Tamandua tetradactyla: one gene and its partner. The protein of the gene in region 2 binds, or shares a complex with, the protein of the main gene of each other region. Links are inferred from orthologs where the notes say so. Each region holds a gene or a part of one and is shown on either strand. Other genes may lie near its edges. The genes, in order: NIFK and MKI67.

Region 1 (7,459 bases), on a different chromosome or scaffold from region 2:
GGACTTGGAGGGATTCAGGTTTCAGGTCTGCCCTTTCGGTTCTGGTGCGTTTCTCATTTGAGGGCCCAGATTGAGGTATCAGTGACCTGGGTATGTTTTTCTCCCTGTGGATGGCACAAGATAGTGAGGGGAACTGGGAATACTTCTTCAAGCTTCCATTCAGAACTAATACAATCTGTTGTCTGCCCATGTCCCACTGGTCAAAGCAAATCACGCAACCTAAAGTCAGTGGGGCCAGGAGATAAGCTCCAGGAGGAATAAATGGGAACAAATAATATAATCAATATAGTGGGCCGTCCCACTCAATACATGCACAACAGCTGGGTGCTAAAGATCAGTAGCACCCCAAATCATGGTGAAAATTCCAGATGCCCTGAACATTTCCGAATGCTCCTAAGGGGCTTAATCACCACTACCCCCAGATGCCATTGAGAGTCCTTCTCAGTGCCTAGCAGACTCTCAGTAGATATTTGGTGAATGAATGAACTTTGCCAAATTGCTCTCCAGAGTAGTTGCAACAATTTACAAACTGCCTGGCCTTAGTTTAATGTCTTTTAAATATGAACAGTTCTATCAGGGCATAAAGGAATCTCATTTAACTTCTCCATGTATGCCTGGATGATTTTTCTTTTTTTTTTCCTTTTTTTTTTTTTCACATAAGCAGGCACCGGGAATCGAACCCGGGTCCTCAGGCATGGCAGGGAAGCATTCTTACCTGCTGAGCCACCGTGGCCTGCCCTGATTTTTCTTATATGCATTGAAATTTCTTTGGGGAGTTTTCTTACATTTTCTTTGCACATTTTCTATTAAAGTGTTCATCTTATTTATTTCGAATGACACTTGTTACATAACAACTAACATTTTCTCAGTTTGTTTTAGTTTGTTCAATCATTTTAAAAATAGACTATTTTTGTTGGTTTTTTTCCTGTTTTTAACTTATTTAAAAAGACGTTTTATTCATACACCATATAATCCATCCAAACTGTACCATCAGTGGCTCTCAGTATAATCACAGAGTTGCATTCATCACCACAATCAATTTTAGAACATTTTCACTCCTCCAAAAGGAAAAGTCCCGTATCTTTTTAGCTCCCTATTATTGATACTTAACCTTGGTGTGGTACCTTTGTTACAACTGATGAAATAATATTAAACTATTACTGTTAACTATAGTCCATAGTTTGCATTAGATTATTTTCCCCATAAACCTCCATATTATTAACACCTGAAATGCAGACATTTTTAATGTGACTTTATCCATTGAACGGACATACCATGCTTATCAACCCAGACCCTTGTCATAGGCCATTTCAGTTGTTTCCATTTCTTTCTCTTAAAAGTACCATTGTCACCAGGGTGTTTGTAAGTCTTTAGCAGGATTTCAGATCATTTCTGGTGATATGTTTAAAGTTCTTGACACATTTTGCCAAATCACTATCCAGACAGGTGGAACAAACTTCTACCCTTCTGCCCACCTGGGACTCTGTGAGCCAACTTGGCTATACAACCCCAACCTGAATGTTAACCCTGTAGACACTTGGGGCTACCTTAAACGTGAAACAATACCTCATTTTAGTAACCCAGAAGCCTACATATCAGTGCTGCACCTCTGTAAGGTTCCGTGAAGGGCAGGAGGGATGGAAACCCGAAGGAAGGAAGGAACAAACCCTTGCAGGCCTAACCCACCACGGGGTTGAGGCCTAGCAGCTGCTAATCTTACCATTAGTTGTGCTGGTGCTGCTAAAGAGCACAGTGTACCACAGTGTTATCATCTCATTCAAATTCTTCTTTTATAGACAAGGAAACTGAAGCCCAGAGACAACCTGGCCCAACAGGTTCACTCCCAACACCTGAGATAAGCCCAGGACCCATACTTTCCTTAGATACCATTTCAGGCTGTTCCCATTATAGTGATTGAAACCCCAAATCTCTACTCCTGTTGCACAAAGTGTGGTCCACAGAGCCTCAGCCTCACTGGGGAGCATGTTAGAGATAGATCCTGCAGCCCTAGCCCAGATCTGCTGGACCAGAACCTGCTTGTAACAATCCCCCCAGATAACCATGTGCTCACACTGTTAGGAAGTGCTGTGCTGTGAGATAGAGAGCAGGCGTGCCAGTTTTGGGGCATGACTCACCTAGGGGCCGCAGGCAAGGCCAGGAACCCATGGGAAGGTTGGGTGGGTTGGGGATTGGAGAGAGGATTTCCGGGAGAGAACTGTCGCTTGCTGTCTTCATTCCCTGCTCCTCTCCTCTCCCCAGGAGCTATGAGATCTGTCAAGAATCCATCCTGGGAATGAGGAGGGTGCCTGCCCCAACACATACACCAAAGGAGGGGCCTTCAGAGAACCAGGGAGCTTGGTCCACATCCTCTGGACTTTGGGGTCACAGGAACCAGGACCTGCCCAAAGTTGAGGCCCCCAGAACCACCCACAGCAGTGCAAGGTGGGAGTGAGGTGTCTCCCATTGACAGAGACAGCCCAAAGATGTGGCCCTTACTGAAGAACCAGGGCCGGGCAGTCTAGGAAGGCGCTGGACACAGAGTCCTTGGCAGACAGTAGGTCCTCGGCCCAGGCAGCCAGCAAGGGAAGCCTCTAAAGAGCTTGGAGAGAAAGAGCCAGAAATGGGGGATGGCCCCTGCCAGAGCCCCCAGAGCCCTGTGGTCCCCACCATCACATCACCCTTCCTGGCCCTCCCTCTGCTCTCTGCCCACCCCCCCCCCCACCCCCCCCACCCCCGCAAAGGCCCCAAACAGCAGCTGGGCACAGGAGAGAGGCTGAGCCAGGAAGATGATATGGACAGTGACACCTTGGGAGATTTCTCTGCTCCAGGCAGGCCATTGCTGGGAGAGGGGACCTTTGACCTTGGATTTGGAAAACCTGGAATATGCTTCTTTTCATAAATAACTGTGGGGGCATTGGAAAAGTGATGAGCTGGCCCCAAAATTTCATTCTGGGCGAGCAGAGAGAAGCCCAGGAGAAAGAGCAATCCTGAGGAAGAATCAGGCTGCTGCTAGCGGCCCTCCTGAACCTCCAGCCTGGGCAGGAAGATACTGGCAGGAGGGAGTATCCAGGAACAAGCTGCAGTCACGGCAGGAAAGGATGCTTCCTAGAGGGGTGACCCCCCCCAACTAAGCCCTGAGGGTGACCGGAGAGAGGAAGGCACGCCAGGCCAGAGGTGAGAGGTCCCCTCTCCCTGCACAGGCCCCCTAGTCCGCCCCCCACAGCCACACTGCCCACCTCCGCGGCGGACACGCACATCCCAGCGCCCAAAGGTCGTCCTCCCCAGTTCACACACACAGCCTTGCTGTCCCCCAGGCCACTCTGCCAGGGCTGTCGCTGTGGCCTCCGCTCCACTCTCCACCCTTACTAGGCAGGATTTGAACACTTTTTTAAGTCTGGACAGCCAGAGCCTGGCTTAAAGCCCTCACGTGCTCTAGCATTAACATAAAAACCCCAGCTCTGCCTCGGGACGCGCAGAGCCCAGGAACTCCAGGCAGCCCGCCTCTTTCCAAGTGTCCCACACGCAGGCCCCGTCCTGCCTACGCTTGTCCGCCCCTCACCCCCCACCCAGCCTGAGCTGTTTCCCCACCTGCGCGGTCCTTTCTGCCAGGCGCTGTTGTCCCTATGCCTGCGCTGCCCACCGTTTGCGCCGTCCCTTCTGCTGGCGCTTTCCCCCGCACCTGCGCTGTCCCCTCTGCCTGCTCTGACCTCCTGCCATCTGCACTGTCCCCTCTGCCTGCTCTGACCCCCTGCCATCTGCACTGTCCCCTCTGCCTGCGCTGACCCCCTGCCATCTGCACTGTCCCCTCTGCCTGCGCTGACCCCCTGCCATCTGCACTGTCCCCTCTACCTGCACAGAAACCCTGCCTGGACGTGGGTCCCTGCTCCTTACACTGGGCTTCCCGCCGCCTTAAGGTCTCAGTTTATTTGACCCCTGGGAGACCCTGCTTGGCCACCAAGTGTATCTCCTAGGAACTCTCAGGTCTGTCGCAGCCCGCAACCCACCCTCCAGAACGGCTTTAGCAACCCGGTTTTGCCTGCCCAGACCGTAAATACCCCAAGGATTAGTAGCCCAGGGACACGTAAGAGGGGCTCAGAAACCAAATGAGCGAAAGAAGAGAAGCATCAGTGACGGAATGGTGCCCAGCACTGAAGGGCACCGGTGTTGTTTGGGAGATTATTTTTAATTCCCCTTCGAAATTGGCGGGCAAAAAGTAGGCGTGATCCTCTGCCATTTTGAACGCAAGGAAGGTGTGAGAGCACCGCCAGGCGGTGCCGCACCGGCAGGGGGCGCCCGCGCTTGCCTTGGCCGGACCCTCGCACCGCGCCCCGCACCGCGCCCTGCAGCTTCCGCTTCCGCCTCGCGACAGCCACTGGCACCGTGCTTCCGGGAGCGCCGCGTGGAGTGTGTCGGCTGGTGTACTTCGGTCATGGCTGAAGTTTCTGGCCCGGCCAAGCCACTCCTGTCCCTGGACCCGCAGGCGCAGGCCAAATTTCAGAAGCAGGTGGCGCATGTCCGCCAGCGCGCGACCCAGGTGAGCGGTCCAGCAGCCGGGACTGTGTGGGGAGGCGTAGACTGGGGCCCTGCGCGGTGCCTGTCCGAGAGCGCCTGGCGCACCTCACACCTCGGTCCCCATCAGCGTCTCCCCGAGTGAGCGCCCGGCCGAGTCAGGGACCCACCTCGGGAGCTTGTAGGCCGAGGTTTCCACTTTCCCAAGACAAAGAGGTTTCAGCTCGCCCGGAAGTTGTGGTGGAGTTTGGGCGCGGAGGCCTTACGTGGACATAAGGGGCAGATATTGGGGAGACGCAAGGAGGAAAAAGAGCCAGTTTGTGGAAATGGCCATCCTTTACCGCAGATTAATTCGTAGTTAAAGCCGTTACGCTTCCGTTTTGTCCTCGAAAATGGGACCTCAGATATGCTTCACCGTTCAGAAGATTTATGTGCACAATTGTTGATTTTGAAGATGTTCAAAGACAATATTTGACACGTCCCTCTTGCTTACTAGGGCCCCTGGCATCAGGTTTATAATTTGATCTTCAGCATAAGGTACCACGTGTGGAAAAAATTGTTTGTGTAGAGAGTAATGGTACAGTGGCCGAGAGGCTGAGAGGTCCGCCTGCGTTGTGAACGTTAGCAAACTTCTCGTGGTTGCTTGGTTAGGTGTGAGTGGATAGTGAGCGCCGTAAAAAATTGAAGGGAGCAAAGCTTAGTACATTTGTGCGGAGTTCTTTTGGCAGTAAATTTAAAATGACATGTTGAAAGATTTATTTGCTCACCCAACGAGTTAACAAAGAGTTGAGCACATTGTGTTCAGTTTTGGGAAATAAGTCTGAGAAGGCAACTGTCTACTTGACGCCTCTACTGGGGAGATGGACGTTAACCAGCTAATTCTTCAATTACAGCTGTGATAAGTGGAAACATAGAGTAGGTTCTTGGCGTCTTTGATGAAGAATCTAAATCTCGGTTGAACCTGGAGCTGGGGGTTTTGCAAGTTTTGTTGCAATGTCACTGTTTTAATTTAAAATATATTTTGTTTACTTGGTCTATCTGTAGCAAGAAAAACTTACTCCCGGAGTAATCTATGTGGGCCACATACCTCGAGGCCTTTTCGAACCCCAGCTCCAGGCATATTTCTCCCAGTTTGGCACTGTCACAAGACTCAGGCTGTCCAGAAGTAAAAAGGTAAACATTTTTGTAGTTGAATTCGATTACTTTTGTTTTTCAAGTGTATATAATCCTTGACAGTTTACAGAGCATTTTCACTCATCATTGTTTATCAGACTTCCCACACAAAGGGTGATGGGAGCAGGGAATGGGGCTTAGATCCTGAAACAACCCACAGGAGCACAATCAGTATTGTTACGAATCATTTGTTTTATTGTTAAGAAAAAAAACTAACCAGTTTGCACCAAATCTTCAAATTAAATTGACAGTCCTGGTCAGTGAGCTATATCCTGTGGCTACTAACCCAAAGATACATGAACCTCACTTTGAAGAACCGGTTCATATATCATCTGGCATTAGCATCCTCGTAATAGCGAATGTTTGGTAGATTAATTAAGAGTGAAGGCTCTGGAGTCAGCCTTCCTGGGTTTGAAGCCTGCCTCTTCATCTTGCTAGTTGTGTGACCTTAGGCAAATTATATTTCTTTATGCTTTCATTTTCTGGTCTGTAAAATGTGAATAATAAAGCACTGACTTCCTAGAAGTATTTATTCAATAATTAAGAGAAGTAATAAATTAGAGCAATGCCAGACATACAATAATTACTATATAATGCTGTTAGGTTGAGTCTATCTCCTTAAGAAAAAGGTTTTTGTAGTTGATTTCAGTAATAGAGGAGTAACCCACTTTATTCTCTGCGCCCCTACCTCCCACTTCTGTTCGTGGTACCCAAACTCACCTCTTTGTTGGAATCCTGTTTTCTTAAAAATATTTTTTCCACATTATCCCACCTGAGTTATATTAGATAAAAGTTAAAATTTATATTTGCTTTGGCATATGAGGAAATAGAGTATTCATCGTACCACCTACTAGTTGTCATGAAACACAGATTAAAAAATTTATTTTGTCAAAACAGCATCTTAACAACATTGAAGAAATTTTTAAATGAAAAGTTTCCTGATATTTCCTCCATCCTAACAAAAAAAAACAGTTTTCCCTGAATTTCTTTTAACTTTTTAATATTTATCTACTTGTTACATTGTTGTTATGTGGGTGAGACATTTCAATGTTTCAGACATCCTGAAATGTCTAATAAGGAATAATTTAGTAACTTCACAGGTATCCCCCATTCAGTTTTATCAGATGTCAATATATCATACTTGCTTCAGATCTTTGTTCTTTAAGTAGTAGATTTATAGGTAGAGTTGAACCATTTGGAAGAATAAAAGATGGTTATAATCATTTATCCTTTGATACTTCATCATAAACTTCCTGGGAATAAGGACATTCTCCTACATACCCACAGTCATATATAAAAATACCATCCATCTTCACATTTTCCCAGTTGTCCCAGAAATGTCTTTATGACTAGAACTGTCTCCCTGCTTGATTTTGTTTTTCTTGACGTTGGCTTTTTTGAAGAGTTTAAGGCCAGTTGTCTTATAGAAAGTCCTTTCATTGAGGAGAGGTGCTAGAATTTACCGTCTCCAGCACTGTTGCATAGTAAAGTTAACCATCTTCCCCACACCACCTGAATTTTAAACTTTTTGCTTGAGCTGTCCACATTCTGGGATTACTGGGTAAAAGTATTAATACTTTTTTTGACACTTGAAAGTATTTTCAAATCACTTTAAAAATTTATAGTCGTAGTAGATTGAGTTGGAGCTCATAATCTCTTCCTGTCCTACATATTCTTATTGGAATTGAGATTGTAGAATGGGTCAAGTTATCATGACTAATAATTTTTGACTTTTATTGAATATTTAATAGACATCATGTTGAGCTCTTGTGGATTA
Region 2 (7,472 bases):
GTCAGAGTTTCTCTCTCATCTGGAAAGGCACATGGTGAACATGGTCAGGGTTCCTCTCTCAAGTGAGAAGGCACATGGCGAACCTGGCATCATCTGCTAGCTTCTTCTCCTGGCTTCCTGTTTCATGAAGCTCCCCCGGAGACACTTTCCTTTTTCATCTTCAAAGGTCACTGCCTGGTGGACTCTGCTTCTTGTGGCTACGTCGTTCTGCTCTGCTCTCTCCAAATCCTTTATTCTCCAAAATGTTTCCTCTTTTATAGGATTTCAGAGACTAATCAAGACCCACCCAAAAGGGTGGAGACATGTCTTCACCTAATCCAGTTTAACAGCCACTCTCGATTCCATCACATCTCCAGGGAGATGATCTAATTACAGTTTCAAACATACAATGCTGAATAGGGATTAGAAGAAATGGCTGCCTTTACAAAATGGGATTAGGATTAAATCATGGTTTTTCTAGGGGACACACATCTTTCAAATCAGCAGAGCTGGGCATTGCCGGGGACATGTTCGGGCTCCATCAGGACCACACCATGCTGGCCCACTTGGTCAGCCCCAGGGAGCAATCCTGGGCCACCCACTCCTTCCCCAGTCCCCCTGCGCCAGCCTTAACCTGAGATAGACAGGCCCTTTCACCCACTCTGCTGGGTAGCTTCTTAGTGCCCCATTCCCAGGCTATGACCTTCTGCACCCAGGGGGTTGGGCCATTGGAAATCACCTGTGGGCTGAGTCAGGTGGAGGTACTTAGTCCCCATAATGTCACCTGTGGGATGTGGTGGGTGGTCCTCCCCAGCAGTCAATTTCATTAACTCCCCACTTCACCCTTCAGGCCTGGGCTGGGGGTGGGGAGGGGCTTCTCACGCCAGGCCCCGCACAGTCCCTTGTGGGCGTCCTTCCCGCTGTGGCGGGCCGCTGTTCCCCCCGGGGCTGGCCGGTATGCCCACCTGGACCACACCCAGAAAGGAAGCCACCAGGCTGCCCCCACAGTCTCTGAAGAAAACAACAAAAAAGACAGGAGTGACTCTGGGGCAGGAAGGGATAACATGAGCCAAGGGCCTCAGAAAGATAAAAAGCAGTGTGTTCATCTAGGAAGTCTGTTATTTTGAAGAAACAAACTCATATGATTTTTAAAATCAGAGCTCAATTTAGTCTGTGCAATTTTTTGAGTTAATGAAAAAATTTTAAAAAGCACAGTAGGAAAATATTATGCACAATGTGAAAATTATGAACAAAACTGTATGCGTAAAGAAAACACCTCAAAATACTAAGGAATTTTATTCTGCTTTCCCCTGTTGCCTTCAAGGTGTGTCTTTCATTCTCACAGGTAAAGACAGCATAAATGTAAACGTAAAACTATATACATAAGCATGTTACTGAATGTTGAACCTCTCTCCATCCTTACAAAGCTCTCCCTGGACGGCCAGCTTCCTCTAGCAAGTGCCTCATTGACCTTCACAGCTAAACTCCCGGGAAGAAGTGTTCTCATTCCCCTCCCGTTCTCCCAGGAGTCCCCTCCAACCAGTTCCCACCATGCCACTTTCATGTCATGGTCACCAGTGGCCTCCAATTGACAAAGCCAAAGGTCGCGTCTCCGTCGCATGTCACCCAGCACCTCAGCAGCATGGCATTTTTTGTCCCTCCTACCTCTTCTCTGAAGCACAAGCTCTCCTGGTTTTCCTCCTGTCTCACTGGTTGCTCGTTCTCAGCCTCCTTTGCTGAATCCTGCTCTCTCCCTGCAGCCAGAGGGCACCCAGGCTCCAACCCTGAACCCTTTGCTTACTAGCACTCTAGTAAACCCATAACTCAATCCTGGGCCCATGAATTCCAGGCACATATATCCAACTGCTGGGGCTCAAACGCAAACTGAACTCATGATTATTTCACACTCAAATACATACACACACACACAAGACATGAAAAACACAACCGAAAACCCTCCCTAGGTTGACCCTTTGAGTAAACAAAACTGCCACCCACCCAGTTGCTCAAGCCAAAACTCTTGAGCAGTATCCCTGACTCCCCCCCCCCCCCCCCCCCCCCCCCCCGGCTCATTTGATTCCTCAGCAAATCCTGCCACTTCTCCTTTCACTTCAGATCCAACAACCCGCCCTTCTCACCACCCACCCTGGACTCCTGCAGGGGTCTCCCAATTGGTCTCTGCCTGCTTCTCACCTCTACCATCTGGTTTTTCTGCAAAAGGCAGAGGTACCTTTTACAATGTAATTCAGAGAGGTTATTTTTATAATCTTGGAATGGGCAGGCCTCTCCTAAGCAGGACACAATAACATTTAAGTATAACAATTTTTAAAGGACTATTAATTGAACCAAAAGCAAATGCCAACAGAGAAAGAAAATTACAGTACATGTGAGAGTTAATTTCCTTAAGAAAAACTTAAGTAAAAAGATAGACAAAAATAAGAGAAAATGGAAAATAGAACATATAAGTAAAACAAATATAGTGGATACTGCAGTCAGCAAATAATGCTTCTCCCATTCCCAAAACTGCCCACATCTATCCCAGGAATCTGTGACTGTGTTATGTCACATGGCAACAGCGAATTAAGGTTGCAGATAGAATTAAGTTTTAATCAGCTGACCTTGAGGGGAAACTCCAGCGGATCCCATGTGATCACGTGGGTCCTTGTAAGTGAAAGAGGAGAGAGAGTCAGCATGATTTAGGAGAAAGACCCGCAGCCCCAGGTTTTAGAGATGAGAGGCTTGCAGGAGCCCAGGAAAGCAACCGGAAATGCTGGACTCCCTTCTCGAGCCTCCATGAGACATGCAGCAGTCCACCTCGATTTTAGCCCAGTAAAGACTCGTTCAGACGTCTGACCTCCAGGACTGGAAGATAATAAATTCGTGTTCTTGTAAGGCTCTACATTGTGGTCATTAGTTTCAGCAGCTGCAGGAAACGAATACTGACACCAACATCTCATTCACCAAAAAAAAAAAGACGTGAAACCAAACAGCTCATCTTTTTTTTGTTCGTTTTTTTGCCTCTTAGATTGACATCAATTAAATAATAATGATCGTCATCAATATACTTGAGCTGGTCTGTAGGGAAAACAACACTCTGGCACCTTACTGGGGAAAGAAGATACTAGCTCAAACTTTTTAGAAAGAAGTTTGGTCATAAACGTAACAATTTTACATATGCATGTCTTCTGACCCAACAGATTTGTTGATAGGAGTTTGCCTTCCTGTATTCAGCAAAGCCTGCCAGCATGCACTGGTTTTTTTTAAAGGGGCTTTATGGAGATGTAACTGATGTACAATAAACTTCACATATTTAAAATGTGAAATCTGGTTAGGCTGAACACATCTGTGAAAACCATCCCTGCAATGAAAAGTGTGAACATATATATCCATTGCCCTCAAAAGTTTACTCAGCCCTCTTTATACTTCCCCCTCCTTTCTCTCCACCATCCCCTTTACCCCCAAAGGACTATAGATCTGCTTTGTTACGATAGACTAGTTTGCCTTTTCTACAGTTTTATATAAATGGGATCAGTCAGCATGGATTTGTTTTCCACTCGGCATAATTATTTTAAGATTCATCCAGTGGTCACGTAAGATTTTCTAATTGTAAAATTGTTTCTAGTAGCAAAGCTTTATAAACCGAAATAGCAATGGCACGATCAAGTAAATTAAGCAAATGGTGTGCAGGCGTCAAAATGAAAGTAGAAGCCGAGTTTATGCTGACAGGAGCTGACCTCAGGATTCATTAGCGGAGAACACTACAGAATAATGTGTATATGCTCTTTTGTGTAATGTTGAAAAAGAGACTACATGCTGGGAAAATACACAAGAATCTGCGGGAAATAACTGGTTCTCTTCCGGGAGAGGCAGGGACCGGCGAGGGAAGCTGGACTTCAACATTTTAGCCTTGTAGCAAGGAGGGGCGCCGCGTACGGGCCCTAAAAAAGACGAGGCAGGAAAGTTTATCTCCGCCCTGGGATCAGGCCCCACGTTCGGTGTTTTTAGGTTTTCCTCTACAGGACAAGAATACCACGTTCTCCCCGGACGCTCAACCCCAGGCGGTCGTGAGCATCGGGGTCGCGGGCCCCCCTCGAACTTGGGTTCCCCCACCTCGCCCGGTGCGCTCCTCCCGCCCTTCCGCGTCCCCATTGGCCGGCCCGCGGCCCGCGCCGCCCAATCACAGCGCTTAGCGCCGGAATTCGAATCGCTGTTTGGATTTGAACGACAGGAAGCGCGGCTCTCGGGGTAGTGGCGCGCGGGCGCGCGGAGGGATCCGGCCGCGGAGCCGGGGTGCGGCGCTTTGTGGCGCGAGCGGGCTGCGGCTGGGGCTCCGGGCGGACTCGGCGGTGACGGGCCCGGAGGAGCGGGCCGCGGTCGGTCTAGGTGAGCCGGCCCGGGGGCCTCGAGGCGGGGTTCGTGGCGCGGCGTCTCTGGTGCCATTGGCTCCTGGGTCCCGGGTGGGCCCCGGTGAAGGCGAGGGGCTCGGGCGCTCTCGGAGGGTGTTGACTGGGTGGGCGATGTGCGGGACGGGGCGACCCAGGGCGGTGCTGGGGGCGCCCTCGGGGGCCAGCGGGCGAGGCTCCCTGAGGGGTAGCAACGTGGGCGCGCACTCTGGGGCCGGTGGGCGAAGTCGCCTTTGACGGAGAGCCTGGGCCCACATTCGGGGCCTGGCGGGCGAGGAGCCTTTGGGGGACAGCCTGGGGCTGCGCTCGGGGGACAGCGTGGGGGCGAGGAGCGCGCTGCGGTGGATGGGGGAGGGCAGCGTGAGGGCATTCTCTGGAGGGACAGCCCGGGGGGGCGCCCTCGGGGGTAGGGGGTACAGCCTGGGGGCACCCTCGCGGGTTCGGGCAGCGGGGGCTTTGGTTAACATCCAGGGGCCTCTGATTTGTCTCTTAAAAAGTGACTTCTTAGCAAGCTTGCTTTGAGAGTAACCTTTCCCTCCTTTTGTTTTATTCAGTTTTTGCGGTGAAAGAGTTATTGGTAAATCGTTTTTTGACAAACCTTGTAAAACCTGACGCTCCTGTATGGACCGTGCTCTGCATATAGTTTAGAAAATGAGTCGTTTGTGCCACCTCGTTGTCATCAAAAGGAGCGGGATCGACGGTACCCATTTCCCGCTGCGGCGGGAAACCTGCTTATTTGGAAGGTGAGCTCGGTACTTCCTCTGTTCTTTTAATTTGGCAATTGTTTTTTACCAAATGAGATTTTGAAAATACATTAAGTGTTTTAATTTGGTGAAAGCCTTGAGATGGAGAAGGATAGAGGTTTTCACATTTGGTGCCCTTGACGCAGTCCTGAGAAGGCAGCTGGGTGGTGTGAAGCCCTGACTCGCTGCCCCTGGCTCTCGGGGCACACTTTGGGGTGGAGAAGGAAGGAGCCTCTGTTTGGCTCCTTGTTTTTTTTGGAAAAAAAATGAGCATGGGAAAGTCATGCTGCTTGTATTTTGATAAGTTTTCCTGTAAGGTTGCCTTTTTCTTTTGGTGGCGCTATTAACTGGATTTTCATGCTCAGCTTTCAATGACAGAATTGACAGAATTTCCATTGCTATATGATATCACACGAGTCTACATTTTAAAATTCCTCAGGTAAAGAACTTCTTTTTTTCCTTAAATGTGAAAAAGTAAAAGGTTGCCCTAGAACTGCAGTTTCTCATATCCCCACATCTGGATACAGCCATGTCCAGTCTGGTGGTTGTTGCGGTTAGCTGTCTTACAGACGTCTAAGGTTTTTGCTGTCTTTTAAGTAGGGTTATACTTAATGTCAGATTGTCTCTAAAATACATCTCGCATTTCTGCTTCTCTCAGATGGAACAGAAAGTAGGCATGCAGCCGCTAGTGCCACAGAGATTGGAAACTGCAGGGGGATAATTGTTTAACCTCTCTTCCCAAATCATCCCAGTTCCCAACTGGACCATCACAATAGCCTCTTCACTGCTTTTTCTTGCATCTTTTTCTTCTACAGTCTGTTCTTGGTACTGTAGCCAGTGCAGTTTTTAATTTTAATACGGTTTCCTTGTTGAGAACGGCTCTGAGGCTTCCATTAATGACCAAAATGCACAACACTTTGGAGGTAGTGTAGCTTAACTGTTAAGGGGTTGGGGTGGGGCCCCAGAAATCAGACTGCCAGAGTTAGACAGGGCAAGCTACTTCTCACCTCTTCATTTACCTCAACGTTTGTGAAGAAAGAGATAGTGCTGCCTAATTCGTTAGGTTATGAGGACTGAGAGAGCACGTTACCTAATAAGAATTATTGGTTTTGCAGCCTGTAAGTAGATGCCCATGTATCAGGGACAGTTTATCAGTTCATCAGGGACCATCGGAGTTTATGCCCATCCTATCGAACGGTCACCCTCCCGTGGAGCTCTGTGCTCTGGCCCCTGACTTCCTTCCCATCTTACCTGGTGCTCCCAGCCCATCCCCAGCCACAAGTCAGCATCTCCTTGGGCAAACCAGGCTCACGTTCAGCTTGGTGGTTTGGACAGTATGGACTTTATGCCTAGAATGTTCTCCCTCCCCACCTACGTGAGATTGCTTTCCCGCTTTCAGATAACAGTTTACATGTCGCTTCAGAGAAGCCTTTCGTGAGCACTTCTCTTCCTGCATAGCCACTTTACCAGTGATGAGTGCTTTTGGTCTCTCCCACTCAACAGAATTTCCCAAGGGTGAGGCCTGTCTTGTTAATAATTATGTATTCAGTGCTTGGTGTGGTATCTGGCATCTTGAGATGGTCACTGTTTAGCACTCTGTAAAGTGTTCAGTAGATTTGCATTTGGAATCAGCATGTAACAGTGGTTCTCTAGCAAGGGCAATGTGGGGCTCCGGGAAGCATTTTGCAAGGTCTGAAGACATTTTTCACTGTTGCAGTGGGGGAAGGTGTGCTACTGGGCATCAGGGAGTAGAGGCCAGGGATGCTGCTAAACCACATGGCGTGTGCAGGGCGGCTCCCACAACAAAGATACGTGTGGCCCCAAATGTCCACAGCCCGGAGTTTGAGAAATGGTTGAAAGAGAGTGATTGTTAGCCATTTCCTGCCAAACAAATTCTCAGTCTGTTTTTTGCTGGGATGGTTTTGTATCTAAAAACCAAATTCTGTTCTTTGACTAAAAGTAGCTGTTTACTTTCCATAGCTTCCATTCCCTTCTAAAGATAAAAAAAAAAAAAACCTGAACATTTCAGTCTCAAATGGAAGTAAGTTTAGTTACTATATAGCAATGATGAAATATATTTTTATGTAAGGTTTTGTAATTTAGAAGCCAATTCATAAGTGTCCATCGTATGACATGGATAGGAAGAGGTGTTCCTAGATTCCAAAGGTTTACATTAAGAACAGAGAATGTTATGAAGTATGTTCAGACTTTCAAAACTAAGGGATTGTAATCTAAATCTAAGCTTACTAATAAATTGTTTTGAAATAATTTCTGTGTAGGTTTAGGAATACTCCTATCTGGTGCAAGTATTAAAAATAAATAGAGGGCAGTGCTGCGGTGGCTCAGT

Evidence for each region.
Region 1: the proteins of MKI67 (region 2) and NIFK are in contact, whole or in part, in an NMR structure (PDB 2AFF), measured with the Homo sapiens proteins. The link is inferred for Tamandua tetradactyla from reciprocal best matches to the Homo sapiens genes MKI67 and NIFK. Residues at the interface, in NP_002408.3 of Homo sapiens: Thr9, Ile10, Lys11, Arg12, Ser13, Pro18, His19, Phe20, Pro21, Ser23, Leu24, Arg31, Gly32, Ile33, Glu34, Cys35, Asp36, Ile37, Arg38, Ile39, Gln40, Leu41, Pro42, Val43, Val44, Ser45, Lys46, Thr66, Asn67, Ile91; in NP_115766.3 of Homo sapiens: Val228, Asp229, Ser230, Gln231, Gly232, Pro233, Thr234, Pro235, Val236, Cys237, Phe241, Leu242, Arg245, Gln248, Val249, Leu252, Asp256, Lys257, Asp259, Glu260, Ile261, Val262, Phe263, Lys264, Gln265, Pro266, Ile267.

What each region holds. Positions count from the first base shown.
Region 1 is NC_135329.1:91,616,478-91,623,936, forward strand, and holds the start of NIFK (MKI67 FHA domain-interacting nucleolar phosphoprotein), read left to right. Parts: upstream 1-4,358; 5' UTR 4,359-4,429; coding exon 4,430-4,534; intron 4,535-5,553; coding exon 5,554-5,682; intron 5,683-7,459.
Region 2 is NC_135339.1:90,697,790-90,705,261, reverse strand, and holds the start of MKI67 (proliferation marker protein Ki-67), read left to right. Parts: upstream 1-4,249; 5' UTR 4,250-4,362; intron 4,363-4,936; 5' UTR 4,937-5,033; coding exon 5,034-5,125; intron 5,126-7,472. UniProt on the Homo sapiens protein: Protein that associates with the surface of mitotic chromosomes and acts both as a chromosome repellent during early mitosis and chromosome attractant during late mitosis.